Regions from separate parts of the Mus musculus genome. Here all the other regions are reported to be linked to region 2. The links are microRNA targets in miRTarBase. Many come from high-throughput screens and were not tested one by one. Region 2 holds a microRNA gene; each other region holds the end of a gene's coding sequence.
The links. Region 2 holds the annotated microRNA mmu-miR-190a-5p (UGAUAUGUUUGAUAUAUUAGGU, at 2,714-2,735, opposite strand). A microRNA usually pairs through its seed, bases 2 to 8, with sites in the 3' UTR of a target mRNA and lowers its output. Matches are read on the target gene's strand: a 7mer-m8 pairs with bases 2 to 8, a 7mer-A1 pairs with bases 2 to 7 and ends in A, and an 8mer does both.

Region 1: the mRNA of Raver2 is a reported target of mmu-miR-190a-5p. The part of its 3' UTR that is shown has no 7-base or 8-base seed match.
Region 3: the mRNA of Stambp is a reported target of mmu-miR-190a-5p. Seed matches in the 3' UTR shown: 7mer-A1 at 6,483-6,489.
Region 4: miRTarBase lists Plgrkt as a target of mmu-miR-190a-5p. Seed matches in the 3' UTR shown: 7mer-m8 at 897-903.

What each region holds. Positions count from the first base shown.
Region 1 is chr4:101,149,619-101,156,716 of GRCm38, forward strand. It overlaps Raver2 (ribonucleoprotein, PTB-binding 2), which reads left to right. Exons shown (of 12, transcript NM_183024.1): 12 at 714-2,752. The coding sequence ends at 860. Jak1 (Janus kinase 1) reads right to left here. Exons shown (of 25, transcript NM_146145.2): 22 at 6,775-6,947; 23 at 5,398-5,515; 24 at 4,920-5,030; 25 at 2,356-3,972. The coding sequence ends at 3,877. Among named protein-coding and RNA genes, the nearest start is that of Gm24468, 34 kb to the right of the region's middle.
Region 2 is chr9:67,233,987-67,241,108 of GRCm38, forward strand. Mir190a (microRNA 190a) reads right to left here and starts at 2,740; the gene lies at 2,674-2,740. It overlaps Tln2 (talin 2), which reads right to left. Exons shown (of 58, transcript NM_001081242.2): 53 at 6,694-6,818.
Region 3 is chr6:83,537,296-83,544,400 of GRCm38, forward strand. Stambp (STAM binding protein) reads right to left here. Exons shown (of 10, transcript NM_024239.2): 10 at 5,911-6,741. The coding sequence ends at 6,685. All of the region lies in intron 2 of Gm38844 (a long non-coding RNA gene), which reads left to right. Among named protein-coding and RNA genes, the nearest start is that of Actg2, 4.6 kb to the left of the region's middle.
Region 4 is chr19:29,342,637-29,349,758 of GRCm38, reverse strand. Plgrkt (plasminogen receptor, C-terminal lysine transmembrane protein) reads left to right here. Exons shown (of 6, transcript NM_026362.2): 6 at 754-1,082. The coding sequence ends at 875. It overlaps Gm52390 (a long non-coding RNA gene), which reads right to left. Exons shown (of 3, transcript XR_003952902.1): 3 at 1,507-2,440. Among named protein-coding and RNA genes, the nearest start is that of Rln1, 12 kb to the right of the region's middle.

The DNA of each region.
Region 1 (7,098 bases), not on the chromosome of region 2:
CGCAACCTTTTTAAGGGTTTAAAGACACCGAATGTGAGAACTCTCCAGTGTTAGAAAGCTGACCTCCCTCCCCATCAGCTGTTCTCACATTGTGTATCTGGGCTGTTATAATGGCCTCAGCAAGCACCTCACACTTATTTGTAGGGAAAGGTCACGTGCTAGGCTGCAGGATATCATTGTACTGATTAATGTGGCCTGTTATGGGGAACATTAGATCAGACTCTCGGGAAGGGAGCCTGGAAATCTGATTATTTGGGGCCCCAAAGTTTTGAGATGACCATTACTGTTGGTAGTGCTGTCATTTTCCCTGACACCACTCTGACAAGTTCTTGCACACAGTCAATGGGCATACTTAACACGACTCCCCACTTGCTAGCCTGCATCCTCCATCAGAGCCAGATGCTTGGTACTGCTCTTCTGCCTCAGGTGTGAATAGGACCAGTTTCCTCCTCCCACATCCCAGAACTGAGGTGAGGGCTCAGGTTCTAGGTGGGACTGACTGGTGCTGGGGTGGAGTGCAGGGCCAGAGGCTGCTCTTCAACTGAACCATACCAGGCTCTCCACGGGTGACTTTATAGAGACTTGAAAGTCTAATTCCTGCAACAAAGGTGGTTTTCTATTTCTTCTCGGTTTTGGGATTCTGGGATTCTGTCCTCACACCAACTGAGGATAGCATGCTTTTCTCACGGACATCTTCACTGACTTTCTCACAGGCATCCTCCTTGAGGAATGAGAAGCGAGGCTCCTCCTATCTCATCTCTGCCCCAGAAGGAGGCCCGGTAGAACTCGCTGGCCAGCACCCTCAGGACACCGGAGTGAGCTACACAGAAACCTACTTGAAAAAGAAGCGTGTGTACTAAGCTCCGGGTCTCCTGCCCGCCTGCTGCGGCGCGGCGCCTGCTGCTCATCGCTGCCTTAACTTCATTCACACTAGCCATATCCTTTCTATACGGGTGTCTGACTTCCCAGAAGGAACTGTCATGCAGCAGGCAGATCAGCCAAATACCCACCTAGCAATAAGAAACACCACTGGTCGAGGGCATTTCCACTAGCATTAGATGTGTCTTAATCCACGTGATAAGGACTCCGCTCACAGGAGAGTCAGCATTCCAATAGTCCTTGTTTCGGGCCTGGGAACAATTTTGACATCATATATAAAGTCTGAAGCAATAACTGGGAAACTGTTGTTTCCTTAGCCTTAGAATGAATTTCGTATAAGCCAATGTGCATTTACCTTACTCTCCCCTAAAAATAGTCTCATCTGTAGTCTTTCCTCAAACTGCAAGGGTGGCAGTACCACCCAGTGGTGACAACAGATGCTCATCATGCAGCCTCCATTAGCTCTACAAAGCCACATAAGACCAACCCAGTGGCAGAGTGAAAGTGATGTGACTTCAGATGCTTCACTTCCGGAGTATCATTTACCATATACACCTTTTGCGGAAAACAAAGTATTTCAGGAAAAGTAACTTTTGTACATAATACAAGGGTTAGCAGAATACACACTAGGGCCACATGTAGTCCACCACCTAGCTTTGTGCTGCCTGTGAATCAAGTGAGGACATTTCTAAACGTCTGGGGGTAGGGGAGGACTTACAACATGAAACTGCAGTTTCAATGTCCCCAAGATGATGTTGGGAACACAGTGAGGCTTGCTCATTTACATATTATGTAGTTACTTTTGTGTCACAATGGGAACTGAGTAGCCTCGAGAACCACAGAGCCTGCAATGGCAGGGGCGTTTACTCTCTTGCCCTTAGTCTGTCTCCCTATTCTTTTTATCTTATGGGAGATGTGCATAGCAAGGAGCCAGGGTTTCCCTGCCGTCTCATAGCATACAGCAGTGAAGGTCTCGTCCCTAGACAGGGCCGAGCCCCAGCAGAGCAGTGCACACAGCCCTTCCTGAGGGAGGCCGTGGACAGCGTGGGGCAGTTCTGAGCTAACAGGCTCTACCTCACTCTGGTTATTTACTCACTCTTTGGTAGTTGTTAAGCTGAAAGGAAATGGCCGCTTAATCCAATTCACTTCTGAAAGAACACTTGTCTTTATTTGTCTGACTTTTGACTTCACCCTTTGCCGAAGATCTTGGTATTAAGTGAGCAACCTTTTTCCATCTAGAAATTTCTATGTGTTCATTGTTAAGAGACTACAACTGATGAAGTGTAGGATCTCAATGATCCTAGATCAGATCATTAAAAAACCTTATTTGGAGGACTTATCATTTTTGACTGATAATGCTCTCCAGCATTAATTATAAAATCTAAAACTGGTACATATGTTACATGTTTTATAATGAATTTTACCTGGCCTAATTTATTGCATATACCAGCTTTCATTGAAAAAATGACAGCTAAAAAATGAAAGGAAGACCGTCCTAGACACGCTTCCTATAGGTGATGACCAGCACGAGGTCCCAGCAGATGACTAATGGTGTGCTCTGACCCTGCACCTCCTGCCTCTGGCTGCAGCTCTAAGTCACAGAATAGTGGAGGCTAGAGACTGCTATCTGGGAGCTGCAGTGTGAGGAGGAAGCAGTGGAGGGAACTTAGAGACACTTCACATTCCATGTGGGTCCTCCACTATGCCAGCCTGTGCCCGTTATTACAAGACAGAAATGCAAATCAAGTGATGTTAGTACAAGGTCATTACAACCAACCCCCCAAAGTCTACGCTGTTAGTTTTCTGTGTCAGCTAATGGTTTGAAATGCTTTTCAAGATGCAAGCTTAATATTAAAAGGCATATGCATGTGAAGTCTTTAGTATGTTTATTGTATAAAGAGTAAACAAAGTGCATATAGAGCGAGACACAGGTTTGACGTAAACAGGGGCTATGGTGATATACAGCAACTAAACCAATTTAAATGGCAACTGTACTGTTGCTACTAAACTGATATTGAATTCTTTGGGAAAAGGGCTCAAAAGGTGAAAAAATATCAAACAAGTATTAAACAGCATTAATGAGTTTGCCAGACTCTTGGTCATGAGTAACTCTGCGGTTCACATTGAATCTAAAGTGAAAGCTGTTGATTACCCAGCTACCTCCAAGTCAACCAACAACAACTACCTAGTGAATTCTGAACTTCAGCCCGCTGGGCCAAGCTGTCTTCCTTTCTGTAGTTTCGCAGTATAGGGTGATGTCTCCTGTTTACGCCACTGTCGGCAGCTTGCCCCAGGGGATCGTCAGGAAGGAGTATGCACTGACAATCTTAAAGGTGGATGTGACCGCATCCAGGTCAGAGGAGTCTGCCTGACAGAAAGCAGCTGTTCAGGAAAACACAGGCACACAGGTCTAGTTCTCAAGAAGTAACATGCAGAGTGTGTATGCCAGGCTCCCTCCTGCAGCACAGGTTTGCCCCACAGTGGGTACCAGTGCTTAAAACTTCAGTCCTAAAAGGTAGCAGGAACAGACCTTTTTTTTTTTTTTTTTAATAGAAACAATAGTATACTAAGTGGTATCTACGTGCTTGTACTATCACTGAATAGACATTGAGATTTCAGGGCAAGGGAGAGTGTCAGCCAAGTCCACAAGTTTTTATCTGAGATCAATATGCCAGCGGCACAGTCCTTTGCTATGCAGCTGATCATTCGGTTGTTCCAGAAGGAGTGCTTAGGCACAATCTAGTCTTTTGGTTGTCACTATTCATCACCAAATTTAAGATGTTACACCTTTAAAGAGAAAGTTCCACACACTGAGTGACAGTGTGACATAGGCATATCCACACACTGAGTGACAGTGTGACATATGCATATGTGTAACTCGAGTATTTGTTGAGGAACTTTAGAGGCAGAATACAAACTTTTCACTTAAAAAACGTTTTTAAATGGCTTGGGAGAGAAGGATTTGATAAATGGGAATTTAAATGTTGTTCATGCTTCTTATTTTAAAAGTGCTTCAAATCCTTCAATAAGGTTCTGAAAAGTTGTCCGGTTAGATGGTTGGAATTCCCAGCATTTTCTCATAAGCTGATAAACCTATGAAAAATAAAAGCAAGAACAGTATGAATAATATCAGATTTGAGAGATTCTAAAAGAACAATAAGAGGCTGGAAAGTTGGCTTGGTGGATCACGTACTTGCCCCACGAGTGTAACTTAAAGTTCAGAGCATGACACACAGTTTAAAGGCGAGGCGTGGGTAGCAGCTGTAAGGCAGACTGGCCAGCCTCGCAAAGCCAGAGGGACTAACTCCAGGGAGACCCTGCCTCAGCAAACAAAGCCGGGGCAACCAAGCAGACACATCCCTCAGTCTCTGGCATCCATAAGCATCCACACATTCAAAAACACAAAATTATCAAGAATACGCTAGAAACTGCTGTCCTTTAACAAGACTAAACAACTGAGTATTTGAGCAACTTAAAATGCAGAAAATAATAGTTCATAAATGGTATTATCATTTGTTTAACTCACAGGTTAACTGATTTTCAACAAAATCCAGGTCACTATTGTGACCCTGTGAGAGGGGCAGGAAAGTTACTAATCTGCCTACCCCCTTCACCACCACTGCACCTGCCTCTGACCAGACAGTCCTGAGTATCTATGGAGGCTTGATCCAGTTTAGAATCTAGAAAACTGAAAATGCTAGTGAGTGGGGTAAATGTCTTCAGGCAATGGTAAGACCTCATCACATGTGCTCTTCTGGGAAGGCAGACATGCACGGTATGGAGGCCACAGCTCCCTGAGAGGAGCCTTGCTTGAGCAGCATATCATCCCCCGCAGGAGGGATTTCTCTCATGTCTTACCCAAGTGGATGCTGTAAATGGAACCTAGGACCTCAGAAAGAATAGCGAGTACTCTTAAGCAAGAGCCAACACTGTAGCCAGTGTAAGGCCTTCGGTTCTGTTATTCCCCTCCCATGCTGGATAAGGCAAGCTGTAAAGACATTCAAAATGCAGTTCCCTTCCCATGAAGGGGACACAGCTACCTCATCAGGACAGTTGGGTGGACATGGCAGACGCTTTCCTTCTTTCAGAGTATTCACAAGCCGTGTCACTGTCATCTGGCCATGAGTTGGGCCTATCATTTTCAGGAACAACTATGTAAAATAAAACCAAACAAAATTAAGGTGATGCTTTCAGAAGTAAGAAGAAATTAAAGCAACAAAGCTTTTCTCTTCCATAACTTCAAATGAAAATCTAAAACCCTTATTTGCGCTCTCAAGGATTGGTCCATAACAGCACATCTGAGGGGACCAACCACAGCTGTCAGTCGTATGAAAACAAAACCCCTACGGCAATGCTCAAAGTGTATCATTCTCTCTTGTGATGACCCTCACCCTAAAAACCTGAGTCGTCTTACTGAATTCTGCACTTGTGAAGGCAAACTTTGCCAGACCATGTGAGATAGCATGCTGTAACCCTCTCCATGTGGCACACTGACAAGAGGTAGCAGTTAACACTTACGGCCATGGGACTAAAATCTGAGTCACAGTAAGTGAGCAGCTCGTGCAGTGTCACTCCAAAAGACCAGACATCAGAGGCGATATAAAATTTACACTGGATTAAACATTCCGGAGCGTACCTGAAAGGAAAGCAGGGAGTGAGCCTTTTGTTCCTCCCAAAAAAAAAAAAAAAGAGTGCCTCAGGAAAGCCACTTCCCTGTTCTTGAGAATGTAAGTCACGTGCCTCTGAGGGACTCTGGCCATTCATGCTGCCACAGTGCACACAGCACACGGGACAGCAGTCCAGAGGCTCACAGCAACATCTTACTTGCCCTTAAACGAGATATCTGTGTTCCTCGTGTCCCAGGGAACATTCTTTTAGAGAGGGGACAGTCCCCTGAAGATGAGCCCCAAGTTATATCCCTGTAAGCCAGGAGTCAGCACCCTCTCTGGCATCACTATTTTGGTGAGTGATGCCCAAATGCCCATACCAGGTGTCTAGGCATCCCAGAACTGGTTTCCTGAACACTCCTCAGACAAATCCACTTCCTACTGTCCCAACCTGTCCTTCCTGGGCTACTGAAGCAGCTGACCCCGATTCCCTTGTTCCTTTCTTGTTCCTCTCCATGGTGACCTTCAGTACAGACTTTGTGTCCTTCAACTCTGGTCAAGTCCTGATGCTCTGACTCAGCCACCCCTACAGCACTTCCCAATGACACACGTGCTTTCAGTTCCCTCTTATCTCTGTCAGCAGAACAGCAGAGCTCCAGCCATGCCCCCTTCCCTTCAGCTTTTACCCAATCACACACAGCCTTTCAAACCCATGCCTGAAGCCTGTGCCACTGCCACACTAAGTTGGCTGCCTCACCCATAATTCAGGATTCACTGGCACAATCAAGGGCCTCAAAACCACTCCGTTTTTAAACGAGGAAGGAAGACTCTGGATAGGCTTTGCTGGTGGAGAGGGCCCCATGTCTGCATGAGAGGCATCAGGGTACACAGGCAGCTTTCCCCAGGAAGGTGTTCCCAACTGAGAGACAATGATGGTCAGGGCGTGGCTCGCTAACTACGGTAACTAGTGGTTCCTAAAACCTAGCCAAGTATCTATCCCTCTTGCAGGATCTCCACGACTATGGCAATGTGTACCTGTGGCCCTGCGATCCCTCCAGGGCTTCTACACGGATGTATTAAGAACGAGCCAGCCTCTTCCACCTGCTCACAGCTATGAGAACTGTGGTGGGTGTGGCTTGCTCACATGAAGCTACAGAGGCTGAAGTGATGATGGCCAGACTCTCCCATTCTCCAAAAGCTCAGAGCAGCTGATACGCACCCAAGCACAGCTTCAAGAGCCTTCAAGACAATGCTAAGCTACAAAGCACGGCCGAGCTGGTTTACATACCAGAACACTGGGCTGTCCCGGTCGTCCTTGACTGTGTAGTACTCCTTATCGGTTTCAATTGCTTTGGTTAAACCAAAGTCTCCGATCTTCACTTGATGCTCACTCTCAACAAGGACATTTCTTGCTGCTAAGTCCCGGTGAACGTATTGCCGAGAACCCAAGTAGTCCATCCCCTAAGAGAAAAGTGTGGCTCAGGCCCATTGCGAAGGTAAATGTGCTGTTGATAACCCACAGTCCTTCCCCTAAGAGCAGTAGGTCAGACCCACTGAAAAAGTCACTTCAGGTTGTGTTTTTTTTATCTTCCACAGCACAATTAGGAAAAAA
Region 2 (7,122 bases):
CACTGTGGGATCTGGGGATTGAATTCAACTTGCTAGGCTTGCAAAGCAAGCCACTTTTATCCACTGAGCTACCTCACCAGCCCAGACCAGACTTTTTGAGAGCTAAAAAGTACCATGACTCTTCTCCACGCAAGCAGCTACATGTACCAAAGAGCTATTCAAGCTGTTTCTCGCCCTTCCATCATTTCACATCTTGCCACCTTCTGTGTTAGTCTCTTACTGAATGGCCACTACTACAAGAAGGTCGCATTCAGAAGTCAGAAGTCCAGTGGAGTTTTTTAAAAGTGTAAATGTGTTATATGTAAGTTAAATGTCCTCAAGGGAAAAACGGGGGCCAATACCTAGGACTCCCACAACGTGCAGGAGGTCTTTTCCTGACAGTTGGATGCTTGAGTGGAACAGGTGGCCATGTTTTCCTTTCTTGTGCAGAACCTGGCTGCTCCTGCCTAGCTTCTGGTTTTGACTTGAGAGATGCTTTGGGGAGAAAGTCTTGGCCAAAGCATACCATGGCTACATCAACTTGTGCTCTGAAGGACCAGTGGGTTGGCTGGCTCTAAGACCTCCTTCATCCTTAATAAAGCTAACAAAAGGCAAATCTCCCAGAACAGCTGGTACCCTTCACAGAGGCCTGGTCTCAGGGGAAGCTCAGGGTGACACAGAGAAACCACTGCTGAGCAAGTCATGTTAGTAGCTGGATACGCACCACCTTCACATCCAGATAGATAATAAAGGAATAGGTTCATGTAGCATCCATTGGAAAAGCCCCAAGCCTGCACAGTTAGTATCTTGGGAATAGTTTTTCCCCATATAATACAATTGCTTTATTACATTTTTTGTAACTTATATTCAATATAAAAAGTAATACCACTGAGTTGATCTTATAATTAGTCTCTGATGAAAATAAATTCTTTAGAATTCTGTCATACTCTCAAAAAGGGGAAGAAGGGGTCACTTGGACCTTGATATAGGAAGTATGGACAATAGAAGCCTTTCCATTATTCAATGAGATACAGTTTGGTTCATCTTAGGAATCTCTGGTATGAGCCTTCTATGCATCTAAGGACCTAACAAGGTCCTGGTAGAGAACCACCTGGCAATACACTCTCTGCTTGTCTGGGACCAAGGTCTGGCATGTGAGCTCCAAGCCTGTAGCTTAGCCATGCAGAAAACATGTTTGCTTTCCCATGTCACAGAACACCTGTGTGCCCGTTCCCACTCCCACTCAGAATATGAATCAGCCACATGGGAATGCCAGACAGCAGCAGAGTTACCCCCCATCCCAAATCTCACCACTTCTGGCAAGTGTCTTCATCCGAAAGACCTTTTAGAGCGATGCTTAAAAAAACTACTCGTTCACCAATGGTGGCTTCTACATATTCCCAAGTTCCTTTTCTGACGACCCCCGTCAAACTACTCTCCTGCCCCTGTAGGGTAAGAGGTCTTGCTCATCCACAGTTAGGAGTGCCATCAAGAGTTGTTTCCTCCTAAGGTAAAACCAACAAGGCCTGGGAGCATAGCCATGCTATTTCCAGGAAAAGTACTTATATAGTCTCTGTGCTAGACAGCTCAGAGTAAACTCACATACAGTTCACGGACTCATTTATGGGAAGAAGTCAAAGCAGCCAGAGAGGCTGATATATACCCGAAAGAATGCTTTCTGGGTCATAGCCCAACTTCCTGCGGCAGCCAATTAGAGTATTTGTTTACTTTCGGACTGCCGGGTTCTTCTAAATATTAACAACCTCTGTGCAGAAGTTCACCTACAACAGAAAACTCAACCGACAGAGCACAGTCCCGAGCATGTTCTCTTCATCAGACATATCTGATCCAAATTAAGGTCTGCAATTAAGGTTTACGGGCTCACCATCCGTAAAGTGAGCACAGTCACCAGGGTTTAGATTTGTTACCAGAAGCGGAAAGTTAGAGATAATAAATGTCCCGATTTTTTTTTTGGCATGGAAAACAATTACAAAATTTAATCTGTGAGAGTGTGTTGAGAGTTGTCAGGAAGAAATATCTAGATCAATGTGTTTGCCAGTTACAATCCTAACCTTTGTCCTATATCAAAGACACGGGTTGTTATCTTCCATCTTTTTCCACTGAATACTTTTCTTAAGGACTCCTAATTGCATTCAACTAAACTTTAGAAAATATCTTAAGCCTTCAGGAGCTATACTCCCTTTCCACAACAAACAGATAATGTAGTAGTATTGATACAGTTTGTTGTGGTCTGAAACAAAGCATCCCCCATCCATAATAAGTTAGTGTGTCTGAACATTTGGTCTTCAGCTGGCAGTGCCATTTGGCTATGGAAGCTTTAGGAATTCACAAAGCCTTGCTGAAGGACATACTGGCCTTTGAGGTTTTATGGCCTGGCTCCATCTGCTGTCCTATCTCTCTACTTCCTGACTGCCGGCCTTCCCTCTTTGATGGTCTGGCCCCTGATAAACTAAGCCATAATACACCCTTTTGCCTTAAGTTGCTTTTGGTTGGGGCATCCTGTCACAGCAACAGAAAGGTAACTAAGACACAGGTCTTAAAGGCTACACGAAGAAATGGAATGAAACATAACAACATACGCACTCTGTCATCTAAACCTACTTGTGATTTTTTAATATATTTTTTCCTGTTGCTTCTAAACTTTGTTAGGACCCCCGGAGACAGGGCAAGACACTGTAGGAATATGCTTGATATATAGTTGGATTAAATAACAACCTAATATATCAAACATATCACACAGAGGCCTGCAGAAAAGGCATCCAGGTTTGACTGAGCTTGAGAATATGGCTGTGGGAGTCAGTCACCTCTGCAGTATCTCCCAGCCTGCCTTGGAACACAGGCGTGTCTGTAGGTGTGGCAAGGATGCCATTAGCAACAATGCTGGTGGCACACACTCTGAGCCTGGGCTCCTTTCCCCAAATGAAAAGGGAGTCTGTGCACCTGTCTGTCACTCACGTCTGAGAGATTACAGGTAAAGGGAGGTGCTTCCATGGTCAGGGCCCAAGGGTGGAACTACACCAGAACCATCTTCACATGCCACAGACTAGTCTCCTTTTAAAACAGGTAACCTGAGAACCAGGTAATCAAAACAGCTGGAAGTCATCACCCTCCCTCCCTCCCTCCCCAAACTAGTCCTCCAAGCAGCACAGGTGCTCTGCCTGGGTGGAGGATAACCTCATTCACGTGGTATGGGGGTGGGTGGCCACAGTCACTATGGCAAGTATGCAGGAGCAGCTGCCATTTATGGCACCCTGAGGATTTTTGTCTTTAAGGTTACAGGACAGGATGGAGAAAAGTAACCTCAAATATTAGCTGGTTTTGCTGTTTCGGTAATTTTTTTTCTTTTAAGCCGAGGAAAAGTTCTTTTGTAACTGTCAGGAGGATGTTATGCATTGTGCAAGAAGTTTCCCACGGTGGACGGCCCTCCTTGCAAGCCCGGGGCTACATGCTTTGGGATGATAAGCTGCTTTGAGACACTTTCATGGATAATGCCTAGCAGTGTACACATAAGGGGTCCACACAGGCCGCCTCCGGCAACCATCCCTCATTTTCTTTTCTTAAGATTTACTTATTTATTTTAAGTGAGTACACTGGCACTCTCTTCAGACACACCAGAAGAGGGCATCGGATCCCATCACAGATGGTTGTGAGCCACCATGTGGTTGTTGGGAATTGAACTCGGGACCTCTGGGAGAGCAGTCAGTGCTCTTAACCGCTGAGCCCTCTCTCCAGCCCCCCTCATTTTCAATGTGTGTGGTTTTCAAACATTGTTTTCCAGAACTGTAAAACACAGAGCCTGCCGTTCCCTGGTCCCATTTCAAGTCTTAGCTGTTCTTTGCTGATCATCTCCGTTAGTTCCCAGCTTTGTGACATAAGCACTAACCATGGATGCCTAGGTGTTATCATTTCTCCCCATTTTACTCATTCCATAAGCATCTTCACGCTGTACAGTCTGGCAACCATTACTCTTCATTACTGTAACAGCCTCATCATTTCCCTTCAAGAAGACCCCAACTTCTTACTGCTACCAACCAAGCTTCTAGAACATCCCTCTCACACAAGTCTGGGTTTTTTTCCTTAGGAAAGGAACTGGAGACAAGTCTAACAGCCTAAGACACTATAAAGTGCAGTGGTCCTGAGGGACGGGAATCATTTTCTCTGCCAATGGGGTATCAGAGGGAGTACAGTGTTCAGAAACTGGGACCCCAGCTCTATGTTCCCTCCCCACTCAATCACACGGTCTGACAGTGGTGAGGACCAGATAAAATACTTAGGAGACTGGTCTGGACCGTGTCTTGTATTTACGGTAGCCCTGTCGCCCGCCCTCTTACCCAACTAGGGATCCATGAAAGACCTTATCTTCCACACAAAGATGAAAAATGAAGGTGTCAGAAAGCATATGTCTGGTCATAGTGATGGTGACAGAGGTGATAGCATTACCATTTACTAGTCAGGCACCATGTTCTTACGTTATCGACTTATGCTATAAGAACAATCCTGCAGGATGAAGGAGATCCCAGTAAGTCTGTTTTCCAAATCAAGAATGTTGACGCAAATGAGCAACCAGTCAGAGAAAAACAGACAAGAGCTGAGGAGGACCCTAGAGAAGGACAGGGTGGAGGCCAGGGGATGCTGGAAAATAGTGGAATATGGGTGATACACGAGCAGCAGGCCCATTCACAGATTGCAGGTGTCAACTGACCAAAACACAGAGTCATCCCCTGTGAAAAGGCCTCTTGGGATAGACTAGACAAGCATAAGACACGCAGATTAAGCTGCAAACCTCACAACCTTTTATATATATATATATATTTTTTTTTTGGAAGGGGGGGGTTTGAGACAGGGTTTCTCTGTGTAGCCCTGGCTGTCCTGGAACTCACTTTGTAGACCAGGCTGACCTCGAACTCAGAAATCCGCCTGCCTCTGCCTCCCGAGTGCTGGGATCAAAGGCGTGCGCCACCACCGCCCGGCACAACCTTATTTTTAAGATTCACCTTTAAAGTATACTTCTCAAGTTCTATTAACTTGACTTGCAAAGCAGAAACAAAAACCTAACCCGAAAATGCAGTTGTCCCTGACCGGACTGTCAGATCTTAAACTCTGACAGTATCAGATGATCCAAGAGCCCCAGGGCACCAGGAACGAAACCCCAGCAAACACAAAAGTCAGAGGTCAAAAATCTCAAATTATGCCTTGATGAGGAAAATCTGAAATGTGCCTGCCATCAAGGCCAGTGCTTAGGAGATAGGTCTGAAGCCTTGACGACTTTAAGAAGCCTCCAGCCTTAACAGATTCATTAGCCTCCTGTCTGCTGCATACATGTCCTCAACACTGCCTTGGCACTGATTGTTGTATTTCAAACCTCCAGACACCATCTTTCAATTTGACAAAAATAGGTAGAAATTTAGGCAGACCTAAACTGGGGGTCTAACTTTTTTGGGGCGGGCATACAAATAGCCAAAGTTCCTTTCCCAATGTATGTGGGTCCCTGGGAGGTGAATATAGATACCCATAAAGACTTGCATAGGTAGGAAGAAAATGAAACCTCCTCCTTCTGACATCTTCCTAAAGGTGGCTGAAGTGTGGGGTAGGAACCGCAGCTGCTTACTAAGGCTGAGCCTGACCCTGAAGATGGGCCAGCTCCTACTGCCCCATAGAAAAGAATCTATCTTCTTGGCTACTTCTCTTATGAAAACTACACTAGCCAGCCACGGGCTCCTGTACACACTGAAACAGCCTAGTGCTGGGTTTCTCTTTGAGATGTGCATTATTCTCTATTTGTGTGTGGATGCACAGGTGGAAGCCAGAGGTCCATGCCAAGTATTTCCCTCAATTGCTTCTCTACGATACTTCCATATATATAACTTTGTGTGCACGTGTGTGTGTGTGTGTAGAGTATCCATGGAGTCAGAGAGGATGTGGGATTCCTTGAAGATGGTGTGTGTGTGTGTAGAGTATCCATGGAGTCAGAGAGGATGTGGGATTCCTTGAAGATGGTGTTACAGATGGTTGTGAACCAGCTGCTGTGGGCGCTAGGAATTGAACTTGGGTCCTCTGGAATGGCAAAAGCAAGTGCTCTTCACTGAGCCATCTTTCTACCCACTGCAAGCACCATATTGTTTTTGGTTGATTTTTTGTTGTTGTTGTTGTTGTTTTTGTTTTTTATTTCCTCAGAGCTGTAAAGGCGCACACTACCGCGTGTGCTTTTTATGTGGGTGCTGGGAAATCCATACTCGGGTCTTCGTGCTCGCCCCAGTAAGCAGTTTACTGACTGAGCCATTTTCCAGGCCTGTTGTTTCTAAGAAAACAAGATACCCAGCATTGTTCTTTCTGTATCAAAGGTGCAGTAGAAACTGATGAACTGAAGGCTGTCAGTCTCCTATCTACTAACAGGAGCCTTTGACAGAAACTATCCACAACTTGCTTTCCATGGTGGAATTCCATGTGGATGTCCTGTTTCTCCTCGGAATAACCAGAGGTACTCTTCTTGGCAGTTAACTAGACCCACTCACTGGTTTTCACCCGCCCCCCTCCCCCACTATGTAAAATGGTGCTGGGCAGGCAGACCGGGTGCGACTTCCTGGTGTAAGGATGGGGAGGGAGGAGAAACTCTGTGTACCCTGCTTAGCTCCACTGCACAGTCACCGCTGGATGCAGGACGCAGGGGATGAGCGGCCGCCAGTGAACACTGACCTTTGGCTTTGCTCTTGGCTTCAGCTGCTCTAACTTCTTGGCAGCGGCTTCAATGGATGCTGCAGCTCCCAGTAACTCAGTTTCTGCAATGACGGTTGGGTCTTCTGGATCCACCCACTCTGTTCCTAAAATCAGTTCCAGGAGAGTCATTCTTGGTAGGTGTAGACATGAAGGTACTGGCGTAATCGCAAACACAAGCTAAAAAGGCATTCTGGCTATGATGGCCCTATGAGCCTATTCTCTCAGCCCTATCTAGATCTCCACCATCTGGATGGAGGGATAAGGGGTGCTAATATGTTTTTCTAAACCAGCTACATGTGTATAGCCCTATCCATAGGAATGCCAGCAACACTAGCTTCAAGATTCCATGGGTTGAGACTTGAGTCTCACTCTGCCTTCTTCTTTTTTTTTAAAAAAAAATGGTTTTTC
Region 3 (7,105 bases), not on the chromosome of region 2:
GTCACTGTTCCATGAATTCTAGGCCAACCTACACATAACAGTTTTAAGATAAGAAGCAGTTACAAAGGTAGAGACAATTTATAAAAATGTCAGAAGGGTGCAAGGTAAGGATTGGAGAGAAGAAAGGGAAGGAGGAAATGATGTAATTATATTTTAATTAAAGAAATATGAGCTCACACATGAGCACACAAATAAGTGTCAAAGTAAAACAAGGCCTTGCTTTGTAGCCCCAGCTGGTCTTCTGAGTACTGGGATTACAGGCAGGCATGGGTATCCGCACACCCTACATCTTATTTAGAGGTTTTTCTTTAATAACGTTTTCAGTAATGGAGAGAACAAGGGAGGAGAAAAACAAGGATACAGGTTTAAACAACAGGATTAAATCCTACTTACGGAGCACAGGGGCAGATGTGAAATGATCACTATTCTCCCCCCAGCTGTAGACAACAGGCTCTGGAAAATGACCCTCAACAGAACTCCACCAGGCTGTGGAGAAAATGGAGAGAGGTTCTTGATCTTACGAGAACAGTATAGGGTATGTGAACAAGGGAAATTGCTCCCTTTTCTGTGAGAAGGGGAGGAATGATAAAGGAGGGCCCCAAGAGGGTAGTCTGGGAGATTTACAGCAGCCATAATGCTTTATTCTAGTCTGGGTGCCAGGCCCAGCTCCATGGACGTGCTCTCTGCTCACCTGGGCAGAGAGAGGAGAATGTGGATGTCTTTCTGGCTAGTGGCTTTGTCAAATGGGTACAGGACAGGTGGTTGGGTTTGGGCATTCTTATCATTCCCAGCTCCAGGGGACATCTAGTCCATTTAGAACTCCTTCAGTAAAAGGCTTCCAGTTGGTCCTCCTGGGAGGGTCAGCGATGAGAAGATGTTGTGTCAACATGACCACATAACCCTCTGTCTATACAGTCATCTACTTAAATTTTTTATTATTGTGTGAATTTGAATGTGTGCTTATGATGTGTGTAAGTGGGTCTGTGTGTCATAGTGCATGGGTGGAGGTCATAGGACAACTGTGGGTTCATTCTTTCTTCCCATGGGTTCAGTGGAACTCAGGTTGAAGTCTTGATGTACGAAGCCCCTCTTCACACTGAGCTGAGCCCTATGTAATCATATTTAATCTTGGCATTACTAACTTAAAAAAAAAGTTGTAGACTTTGAGGCCAGAGGAGCTGCAGTCTCTTATGGAAGTCACACAGTAATGAGGAAACCAAGAATCTACCTCTTCGGGGTCAGTCTAGCACCCTGGAGCCTGAACACGGTTCCTTTCCTAGCGCTAAGAGAACCTGGTATTTGCCAAGAACTCTTGGCGTGGTCACTTGTGATGTCGCAAGGATGAGATTCTCACAACACAATGCAAATAATTTCAGATTCACTTTTGTATTAGTTACTTTTCTGTTGCTGTGATAAGATATCACTATTTAATAACATATAGAAAGAAGGGTTTATTTGGGCTTATCATGGCAGGGAGAGGCAGCAGCAAGCGACAGGCATGGTAAGAGAACTCTCACTCTCAACCATAGGCACAATGCAGAGAGCAAGTAGGTTGCTGGGAAAGACTGTAACACTCACAGCCTGGCTCCAGCCTCCTGCAGGTTCCATAACCTTCCCAAATAGTGCCACCAACTGGGACCAATGGTTCAAATACCCAAGTCTGCGGGGGATCATTTAAACTACAACACTTTTCATTTGAAAACTTACTGCAAATATGAGACCGGTTTTATTTTTGTTTTTAATTTTTTTTAATGTATACATACACACACACACACACACACACACACACACACACACACACACACACAGACTTTGTTAGAGCCAGGCTCTAGAGAACTTCCAGAGAAGATTTCAAACAGATCTGGGATATATAAATCATTGCAAAGTATAATTTAGTTGAATGTGGAGGGAAAGAGATGAAGAAATCAAGCACGAAGACAAATGGATTCAGTAGTTTTTTTAAAAAGCATAATAAACTGTGGGCTGGAGAGATGGCTCAGTGATTAAGAGCACTTACTATTGCAGGGGACCCTGGTTGGACCCAGGACCAACATGACAGCTTATAACCAACAACTCCAGTTGCAGGGGCTCCAGTACCATCTTGTAGCCTCTGTAGACACCGAGTACAAATGTGGTACACAGACATAACATATAGGCAAACAGTCACACACATATTTAAGTGTGAACCACATCACTTCTCCACAGTAGATGAGCTATATGAGGTATGTCATAATCACCTGTACAGTAAACCCAGCTGAGACACCTGGATGTCCGTCACTGGTTTAGTGTATGAACTCCGTCATACCTGGAAGCTCTGATATAATTTTTTTTCTATCTTTCTTTTTGGTGACAATAGTACTGGGGTCATCATCATCATCATTATTGTGTTGTTATTGACAACAGTGGTGGTGATTTCTTGAAATAGGGTCATGTGACCCGGGTTGGCCTCAAACTTAACTATGCAGCCAAGGATGGGCATTAACGCCTTTGTCCTTCTGCCTCTGCCTCCTTGGTGCTGGGATTGCAGATGTGTACATACCGCCATGCCCCACACTTACTCTATGGTTTTTGTCTTTAAAGTTTGTTTTTAGGTTTATTTAGGGGTGTGTGTGTGTGTGTGTGTGTGTGTGTGTGTGTGACATTCCAGGCAGGATACTGTGGGCTTGCATGTACACAAGTGTGGGATACGTGCAGTAGCCTGGAGGAAGGGATGGGTGGGCTTCAGAGCAAGAATGAGAAAGCCAGAGCACCAGGGACATGATGCTCAAGGGTTGTTTGGAACAGTATCAGAAAGAGAGAGAGGGAGGGAGGGGGAGTGGAAGGGGGAGAAGGAGGGGACTGGGAAGGGGGAGGGGGAGGGAGGCTGACAGAGAGACAGGGAGACAGAAGGAAACGTTAGCTGTTCCCACTGAGAGCTCAGACAGACAGAAGCAGACAGGCTCTGTGGTGCTGCCTGATGGATGCTCTGCAGCATCTGCCTCCCTGGAGTATTTTTAAGCCAGTGGAAAATACCCTGCAAACGCTGGCTTTTAGGAGATCCTCTGTAGCCGTTTCTCTCTCACAGCTTCGCCATTTGACTTTTTAAAGGTTGTTTTGCCTAACTAAGAGTTCTTTTTTTTATCCAAGTGTAAGAAAAGTAAGACCCAGGGCTGGAGAGATGGCTCAATAGTTCAAAACCCTTGCTGCTCTTACAGAGGACCAACATTCACTTCCCGGCACCCACAGCAGACCAATTGCAGCCCCTGTAACTCCAGCTCCAGAGGTTCTGGTGTCCTTTTCTGGCCTCCTTGAAAACTGCCTTGGTGTTTAGTATGTGCATGGTAAAATTTTGCTGAATAAATGGAAGGAGGAATATAAATAGCAGAGAGGATCCTCTCTTGGGTCTCTCAGTCACTGTCCTGTGTACATTTGTAATAGTGATATTGGCCTTGTGCTGTCACAGGAACATAGCTCCTTTCTCCACATCTGCTTCTGGAGGTCAGAGGTTATAGTAATTTTTTTCTTCATATTTCAAACAGTGCTGTGCACATAGTAGGCACCCTTAAATGAATGAGTCATGGTCTGGATGTATGACATGTTTCATGGAGCATGTCAGTACCCCCTAGTCCAGCTGCTGTTACCACAGCACTGGATACTACTATTAAATATGCTTAGCTCACACTATTGGTACTACTGCCCATGGCCTTAGGTTCTCCTCATACACGGCATCTGTTTCAGACATCTGCTGCCTCCCCTGGACCAGCATCCACTCCTGCTTCTAATACTACCATGGTATTGTTTGGATCTCAAAGCATGCAGGTTGGATGGAATATAGGCTTGCAACCCAAGCCTGACCAATCAGAACCTTCCATCCTTCTGGCCCACAGTGACTGGTCCCAGGATGAGTTGTGGCCAAAGTCATGATCCAACAATTCCAGGAGTTGTGTTGAAACCCAGAAATCATTTTCAACTAGATTTATCAGGACAGTAGGCTATTAAACTATAGCTGTCTACATTACTTTAATGGAATAACTCAAATGACTAGTCCTGAACCAAGGAAATGGACACTGGATCCAGGTATGTCTGAACACCGATCAGATTTTCTGTCAGTGCAATGAGAATAATTTGAGCCAATATAAAATTCCTTTCTCTGTGGTTAGCTAAAGCCTCGTGTTATAGTTATTAAGATGGTGTGCTTTCAAAGCCATGGTGCCACTGGGATTGAAAATACTGTATGACCATATCCTGGGTTTACCATGAATCAATTAAAGCTCTTCCAAGTCTTGGGAAATGGGTAAAGGCTGTACTGAGTCTGAGATGCTCTGGATACAGGGCTGAGGGATGACCATGGTGGCAGCATGGCTAATGCGTGGGTGGCACAGAGCACACTGGGATAAAGGTTTGCTTTGGTGCAATTCCATTAACATTTCTTAAAAAGGTTTCACTGAGAAGCTTGGCTGAGCCTCCTGCCTCAGCCTCCACAGCGTGGGGATTATAGGATCACTGTGCCCAGAACCATTCACTTGTTTAAAAGGCAAAATGAGGTGACGATAGGGATGCAAAGGGGTTGCAAAGCTATAATGCCAGGGAACAGGCAGAGGAGGATCTAAGAATGGCTGTGCTTCCTTTTGTGTGGGAGATGGTTCCACTTCCACCACCCACCAGTAACCATTGTGGTGTTCACCTTAAGCAACGCTCGCCCGTGTTTTCCAAGCCCAGAAGGCAGAAACAACGGAAGACTGTTGCAGCAGCTCTTCTCTGGAGGAGGGTGACTTTGTAGAAAGCAGTCTTTCACAGGGGACTGAGCAATCTGGAGGGCCCAGAACTGTGGTCGAGACTTCAGGCATAACAACAGCAATTCATTTCCTAGGCTGTTCTCAGCTATCCACCCACTAGGCTTTGTCCAAAGATTTCTGCTCGCTCTTGAAGGCAAGGTTTATGTTGAACAAGTTCCAGCGGTGAGGTCAGCCTTATGGAAAGTTTCCATATATGACATGTGTCTGAGCTTTGCCCAAGAGCATTACCAAAGCCCCCTCACTGAGCCTGCCCGGGAAGCAGGTCTTGGCTGGGTTCCCACATCGAGGGGGCAGTGGAGTTTTGGTTTCTGGATAAGAGATACTGTCCTTTTTGTCCAGTTACAATGCAGTATATGTTCTCTCTAGTTGGGAAACATTTAAAACAGAGGGGGAATGAAATCTCATAATCCTACCCTTTGATATGAATTCATCCTTTTCTGAATGCATATGTTCACATATATTTAGGAAGGCAGCATTGTTGGTAAGAGTGAGAGTATCAATTTGGGAGGCTAGAGAGATGGTTTAGCTATTAAGAACACTTTCTGCTTCTGTAGAAGACCTGGGTTCTGTTCCCAGCATCCTTCATGGCACCTCACAACTGCTTGTAACTCCAGTTCTAAAGAAACCAAAGTCCCTTTTGGCTTTGCAGGCACCTGTAAGTACACAGTGCACATAAGACATATGAGCACACATGTACATATGCATGTTAGAAAAACAAATTCTGCTATATCCACTCTTCTCTCATGTTAGTGCCACAGATCTCTAGGTGACCTTTAGTTTGCCACTCATGTTCCCACCCCAGCCTAAGCATTTCTCAAGAAAAAGCCAGCACAGTGGACTTAGCAGGGTGGGTGACTCGGCAACCACACCATTGACTTGGATGTAACCAGGAACTCTGAAATGCTTCAGTGCCTGGGCTGAAGGTTGTCAGGCTTAAGGAGAAAGTGGGAAGACACACTTTGAGACAACAGCAAAACGAGAGAAGACTTCCTGCCTGTGGAGGAGGCAGCAGGCAGGCAGGCAGGCACACTGACTAATTATAAGTGAAGTGGAACACAGTTCAGTGTGGCACACACCATCCCATTTGGCCGCAATCAGACTCAAGTGTTTGTGTGATGATGCTCGGTCAGACAAATCACTCTGGAGCACAACACAAGTGAGCTGTTTTATTATAGAAGAAAATAACACCCTGACCTTTTAAATAATACACTTTAAACAAGATCCATGTATGGGGGCTGTGAACGCCTCATGCACATCCCACCAGAATGGTAAGCTCCCTTATTAATGCCACAAACAATAAAAAGCCAAATCCTTCAAAATGGCTTCTACAGTTTTGCACAGATGCCCCTATTTAGTCCAAAGGCAGAGATGAACAAGTTGGGAGGTAAATTTCAAGAGGAACAGAAGGCCAGTGTTTGGATCTAGAGAAGTATTTTCTCTTGCATCCTAATTTTTGAGTTAGTTGCTTGGTGTGATTTGGTCATTTTCACATTTGTCTTAAAAAATAAGATGATTTCAAATTAAGGAAAAACAACAACAACAACAACAACAACAACAACAACAGTCTCCCCTTAGTGTTGACCCTTTCCTATCCTGTCTTAAAAGCTTACTCAACTCCATGGGGGCAATAAACTGAACGGGATATGCAGCTTAAGAGGGGGGTAGGACTCTTTTTATAATTTACATTTATTCGCTTTTTAAATTAATTGATATGCGTGTGTGTGTGTATGTGCACACACACGTGAGAACACACATACCACAGCACACATGTGGAGGTTAGAGGACAACTTGGGGGAATGTCGGTACACTCCTTCTACCATGTGGGTCCCAAGAACTGAGCCTGGGCTGTTGGGCTTGGTGACAAGTGCTGTTACCCAGTGATCCATCTCCCTGGTTCATGATTTGAGATTTATCGAAGGTCTGTGATCGTCACAATTCTGTCCTTGACAGTGACATGGCTGCAGTCCTGAAACAGAGAAAAAGGAGAAGCAATGAAGTTGTGGAAAATCCTTTAGAGTCATTTAAAAAAATATTTATTTGAGCCTAGGTCTATGGCTGGCTTCAAATTCCCTAGGTAGCCCAGGTGGCCTCCATCTTTCTGGTGCCACCTCTGAGTGTTGGTATTGTAAGTATGTACTACTCCGGTCATTAGGGCTGGGGATTGGAGCCACAGTCTGGGGCTTGTGAAGAAAGCCCTCAACCAGCTGAGCTACATCTCCAAACCTCTCATTTAAAATGCCCACTCAGATACAGAAAGACAAACGCCAAATATTCTCTTTATTTGTGGATTTTTGCTCTGAATCTTTACATTTGAGTATGTACCCTGACAG
Region 4 (7,122 bases), not on the chromosome of region 2:
ACAGACTGATAATTAAATTATAATAAACACTAAATTTCGTTTAAAACAAAAAAGCATTAAATACGCAGAACTCATCTGTTTTAAATTATTTTTCTATTCGGTATAATCATAAATTACTTGTATCAATTGTATCTGCATTATGCAAATGTAGACGCAGCATACAGATGCGACAAAAAACCAGCATCACTCATTGGTGGCTTGTGATTGGTCAGGTGAGGAGTATTTACATTGTGGAAACTGGCGACATGCCAAGTCAAGGATTAACCTTGTCCTTCTGCTGATCATCTGGGCCAGGGATTGGAAAACGCTGACATTTTAAACCTTTGGGAAAGAATTCTAATGACTTCTATAAGTATTCTTCCTTTTGCAGACAACTTATTCATTTTTAGTGTCAATTCTCAGTTGTTTGTGTGTGTGTGGTATATTGGTCAGATCAAGGTAATTATAGTGATCGCCTCATGTATTTATCTTTTCTTTTGTGTACTATTTCTGAGACACAGTCTCCCTGTGTGGCCTAGGCTGACCTTGAACTCATGATCGTCTTGTCTTTCCTCCTGAGTGATAGAATATAAGCATGTAATGTGCTTCCCCTGAGTGGTGTATTCCTTCTCCTGAGTCAGATGGGTGCTCAACTCTGAGATTTAAGGTCATGGATCCAGTCCCCACCGTGTGTCCCTGGATCAGCAACCAGGTCCTCTTAGGGAACCCTTAGGACGTCTTCATCAGCTTACCTGTGTCTGCATTTTACTTAAGGTGAAGCTGAGGACATATTGGAAACAGAAAAGACGAAGCTGGAGCTGCCAAAAGGACTGATCACCTTTGAAAGCCTTGAGAAAGCCAGAAGGGAGCAGAGTAAACTCTTCTCAGACAAATGAAGTCACAGTTATCCTCAGAGCACATATCGTGTCTCAAAAGCACAAAGTTGTTGGCTTGAATCATGGTGTTTACAGTTTTTTAAATGATCAAGATTTTGATATGATGCATTTTTATTTTAGAATATTAAAATTCAAAATGAATTTGTTGAACTATTTTAAAATAAAATTTCTAACACTCCACCAAATCATGGCAGTATTCTAAACAGCATTCAAATTTCTCGTGTGTATGTGTGTTTTATAAATATCCAAGGGCAAAATTAATAAATTGTGTTGTTCTGAATTTGACCCCAATGTCCTGCTGCTTGAGGTCCTGTGAGACAGACTGTCCTCGGTATTCAGTGCTCCCAGGCATCTGCTGTTGTGTCCTGTCTCACACAAAAGAAGAGCGACCAGTACACCGTGAACTACAACGTTTGGAGGAGGGGGAGGGGGAGGGGAGGAGGGGGAGGAAGAGCCGATGAAGTTGAGAGATATAAATGGGGGTCAGTAGGGAGTGTGAGGAGGGAAATGGGTTGATTTTATTTCATTGTATACATATATGATAGCCTTAAACAACCAATCAACCAATTGATGATAGATAGATAAATAGATAGATAGATAGATGGATAGATAGATAGATAGATAGATAGATAGATAGATAGATAGATAGATAGATAGAAGAAATTATAGAGGAAAGAGATGGTGATTTCATCTGATGGATCCAGGCACAATGGAATATACCATAATATCAACAAATCAGGAGGCTAGGGCAGGAAGTTCTTAAGTTTGAAACTAGGCTGAGCAGTGTAACAAGATTCTGTCACAGACACACACACACACAATCTCATAATACTAGTGTGTTATTGGTGTCCAAAATGGTTCATCAAGAGTTTTAAATTTAGAATTATTCTGCTATGTGAGCTTTCGAACACCAGTGTTCAGCAGGTATAACTTCAAAGCTGTGTCGCTAAAGACCTTACAGAACATTTAGCCGCTGTGCAACCCACCCAGGCCCGTGGCGCTCTATGACTGTCAGACCCTTCCTGCTGGCTCCTGGTCTTGAGGTAGAGTTCATTAATAACTCACATTCAAACAGCTACTCCTATAAGAGTCTTCTCCATGTACAGAGAGACAAAACCCAAAGCCGGTCTAAACAACTGCCTTTAAGCACAGCTATGTTAAAACCTGGTTCAAATGGCCTTAGACTTGATTATTCAAAACTTCCCTTTTTCCTATTACACTATCCTTTTACTGAATTGACAAACATTTCATCTGTAACTCTTCATTATCTTAGTCATTTATGTTAATTAAATATTTAGTGCATCTTAATTACAACTTTTATTAAATTCCCAATACTGAATCAGTTACAGTCTCTTAGCTAGCTTATTATTACAGCCTTTTGTGTGGCTTCAAGAAAAATGAGGTAATAAAACATGAGAGAGCATGAAAGGCGAGAGAAAGCTGAAGTTGCTTTATGAACAAACATTTAGAGACTCACGGAAACCACACTCGATGGTTCTGCCAATGGTCGGAGACAAAGTTGGGGTGGGACACTTAGCAGGTGGCTTTCCACTTCCGGAGACATGCTGGCAGAGTAAGGCAAAAATATGTAGTGAGTTCAAGACCAACCTGGATGACATGAGACTCTCACAAAACCAAAACCAAAAAGTACGTGGGTTAGAAGAGAATAGACAAGGGACAGAGTCAGACTGTCAAAATTGGGCTGGGCAAGGAGTTTGGTGATAGAGTACTTGGCTACTGTGTATGGGGCCCAGGGTTCAATTCCTAGCCTGGAAAGACACACACACACACACAGAGGAGTCAGACAGATATAGAGACAAACTTCATATGATATCATATATAGTACATATGTGTATTCACTCACAGACGTCAAATTTCAAAACCTCTGCAACCGATACGATTCAAATGTCAGCCATCTAGTTGACATGTTGTATAGATTTCAACAATTCCAACACATGAATATCCAAATGTGAATGGGTATTCTAGTCACTCTCACCAGAACACAGGTTTTTTTTTTTTCTTTTCTGTTCTGCCATTCTGAGAAAGGAGTAGGCTCTTGCTGAGAAATCCTTATTAAATACAGACTGTTTCTCAAACATTGTGGTGTTTCCTGCCCTTGGGGGGTGGGGAGGAAAGTGTCTATTCTGTAAGAGGATTGGAAATGTTCCTTTGGCTTTAGCCTTGTGGGTACCCGCAGGAGACTTCAGGAAGACAGTGCACACTACCAAAGTGTAGAAAGCAGTGTCTGGCACTTTCAGTATCTCCACTGATATATATATATATATATATTTTTTTTTTCAAATACCTACTTTGGTTAGCCTAGTGACTGTTGAAGGCTAGAGCAGTTCCTGGGTTATATACAGGCAGAACACAAGGCCCAGAAATGTGTGTACATGGACAATCTGAGAGGTCTAAAAGTCAAGAAGAGGGCTGAGGGGGAGCTGTGAGGGGAGGGGCTCACTCGAATGCTTCCATTAGTCGACAGGCCATGCATAGCTGCCAGGGACCATAGTGGGATTCTCTCACAAGCCAGTTCGTTTTTATAAGCTAAGAGAGTGTGGTCTCTTCTGACGCACACACACATACATGTATCCCCACTGCCGTGACTTTGTTGTTCTAAGCATAAACACCACCTAAATAGCAGAACTGTACGTACTTCCAAAAATCTGAATGTTTTTACATCAGATTTCCATCAGTATGAGACAACATCTAAATCAGTGGTTCTCAACTTTCCCAATGCTGCAACCCTTGAATACAGTTTCTCATGTCGTGGTGACCCCCAGCCATAGAATTATTTTGTTGCTATTTCATAACTGCAACTTTGCTACTGTTATGAATCATAAGGTAAATATTTGATGTGCAGGATATCTGATATATGACCTCTATGAAAAGGTCATTCGACCTCCCTCCCAGGGGTCATGACCCACAGGTTGAGAAACACTGGTCTAAGATCAAAGAAGAACATCAAAGTTTTTCTATTATAAATTTTCTGCTGGATTCTGCTATTGTAATTAAGCATCGAACGCCGCCAGAAGTCTTAGATGCTGACTCAGCGCTGTCTGCCACATTCACTCCCTTTCTGTTTAGACGCATAAGGCAGGGATAACTTCAGTTAGAACAGCTTTCTCTGAGCACTTTTGGTACCCATTACTGGAATTGCTTCAGTTACTATTCACTGCATAACCTCCATTCTTCTGTGTCATTTTTTTGTTCTTATTTTTTAATGAGAGACCTGTTCTGGCCAAGTCTCCTTTAAATAAAATAGCTCATGCATTGTGATTCCACTTATGAAATCTTTGGCAACACTAACCTCAGTTGACCATAACAGCATTTTCCTGGAAAGTTCAGCACTGACTAGAAAGAATCATGAGGGGAAATAGAACTGACTGTGTCATGACAAAGATACGGCGTACACCAGTGTCCTCATTTGTCAAACTGCATGCCTAATATTTGTGCATTTCAAGGTGTATTATCTAAAATTATAATAACTATCACCATAATTTCCATTGTTATAATTGGATGAGTTGGAGACTATAGTGTGTGTGGTGTGTGTGTGTGTGTGTGTGGTTTGTGTGTGGAGTGTGGGGTGTGTGTGTATATATATATATATATATGTATATGTATATATATATATATATATATATATATATATGGGGGGTGGGGTGTGTGTAGTGTGGGGTGTGTGTGTATGTGTGTGTGGTGTGTGTGTGGGGTGTGGGGGTGTAGTGTGGGGGTGTGTATGTGTGTGTATGTGGTGGGGGGGTGTAGTGTGGGGTGTGTGTATGTGTGTGGGGTGGGGTATGTGCAGTGTGGAATGTGTGTGTGTGTGTGTGGTGTGTGTGTATATGTGTGTGTGGTGTGTATATGGGGGTGGGGTGTGTATAGTGTGTGGTGTGTGTGTGTGTGTGTGTGTGTGTGTGTGTGTGTATGCTGTACTGTGTGTGTATATGCCTGTATGGAGAGAGAGAGAGGAAATTGTAGATACAGATGAAATAAGAATGGTAGAACACTAGTCATGGAAAACCAGTACGTGGGTGTTCTTTATGTGACATATATATTTTATATGTAATTAATTAATAATCTTTATAATTAATAATCTTTAAAAACTAAGGTATTTCCTAAATCTGATTTGCAAACTTGATTTTTCTAGACTTCTGAAATTTCTTGCATTAGAAAACATAAATAACAAAAGCATAATGTTGAGTGAAAAAAACCAAAATATTCAGAGGGGTTCATTCAACATGGCAATGAGATTCTTGAAACACAACCTGGGTCAAGGAGGTGATGTTACCAAGATGATGGAGTGGGAGGTAGAAATCTTCATCCTCCACCCCCAGGGGAAAAAAGCCAGTTATTTATTTAAAAAAAAAAACACCCTTGAGAAGGTCCACTAAAATTCTGCAATACAGTGGAGAAGAATAAGATGGAGCATCTATGTCAATAGGCCAGTTGATGCTCGTCTGAGACACCCGGATGGCTAGGAACAAAAAGGAAAGGCTAGACGCTCTGTAGCATTAGCGGTATACTGTGAGCTGTAAGGTGGAATCACTGTGTTCCCAAGAAGCTTGCTCACCAAAGAATGCCACAGAATACTCAGCAGCTGTTCCTTCCTGGAAACCACAGAGACCTGACTGTATGTTCCCCACCTCTCCCAGCCTTTTTTACCCTGACCCCCACCCACGCTGCTCCAGAAATGCCCGCATTCTAGATCTATGCTCTTTGGCTATATTGCCTGGCTCACATCTCAGACACCAGACTTACTCTTTGCTAACTTGTACTTGGACCCCCAGTGTGAACATTCTAAGCCTTGGATGCTAAGGATCTCTGCAAGGTGGCCAGCACTGAACTCACCATCTGTCAGGTGACAGAAAACCTAAATAAGAAACAAGGAAGTTGAATTACACTTCCTTGCACACCGACCTAACATTTCCTCTGTCATCTGCTGAATACACACTCGTAACAACTGTTCAAGGGACCTTCTGCATGGTGGAGCATGGGTTAAGTCTCGGAACACAGCATTAAAATTTTCAGAAGATTAAAGTCATATCAAATATCCTTTCTGAGCACAGTAGTTGGAGCTAGAAAATAGTATGATGAGTCATGGAAAATTAACAAACCTGTAGAAATTAAACAATATGTTCCCAACTGACAATTATATCTGAAAAAAATTTTAAAATGTTAAAGATTTAAATAAAAATACAATGTTCCAAAATTTATTGGTGGTCACAAAAGTTTTTACAAGAGAGAAGTTTGTCATGGTATGTACTCACTGAGAAGTGGATATTAGCCTCAAATTTCGGAATGTCCAAGGTTCAATTCACAGACCATATGAAGCCTAAGAAGAAGGATGGATGCTTCAGTGCTTTTTAGTAGGGTGAGCAAAATATGGAGACAAAGTGTGAAGCAGAGACTGAAGGAAAGACCATCCAGAGACTGCCCTACCTGGGCATCCATCCCATATACAGCCACCAAACCAGGACGCTATTGTGAATGCCAACAAGTGCTTGCTGATGGATGCCTGATATGGCTGTCTCCTGAGAGGCTCTGCCAGAGCCTGACAAGTACAGAGGAAGAAGCTCGCAACCAACCATTGGACTGAACTAAGGGGGGTCCCTGATGGAGGAGTTGGAGAAGGAACTAAAGGAGCTAAGGGGGCTTGCAGCCCCATGGAGGGAGCAACAGTGTCAACTGGCCAGACCCCCTGGAACTTCCGGGAACTGGACCACCAACCAAAGAGTACACATGGAGGGACCCATGGCACTGGCCACATATGTGGCAGAAGATGGCCTTGTTGGACATCAGTGGGAGGAGAGGCCCTCGGGCCTGAGGGTGTTCAATGTCCCAGTGGGAATGTAGGGGGGAGGGGGGAGTGGGGGGGGAGCACCCTCATAGAGGCAGGGGCTTGGAGATATGATAGGGGGTTTCCAAAGAGGATACCTGGAAAGAGGAAAACATTTGATATGTAAATAAAGAAAATATCGGGGGGGGGAGAGAGAGAGAAGAAGGAGTAGAAGAAGGAAGAGGAGGAGGAGGAAGAGGAGGAGGAGGAGCAGGAGGAGCAGGAGGAGCAGGAGGAGGGTAGGTTGTAGTGGTCGTCATTTTGAATCATCTTCTAATTGAGTCACTTTGCTGGAGGGAGTGGTTCCCTACTTGGGTTATGGAGGTGACGAAACCCCCACCCACTGGTGGTGAGCACTTAAGAGGGTCGAATGGGAGTGGCAGGTGTGAAAAGATTGAATGGGTAAAA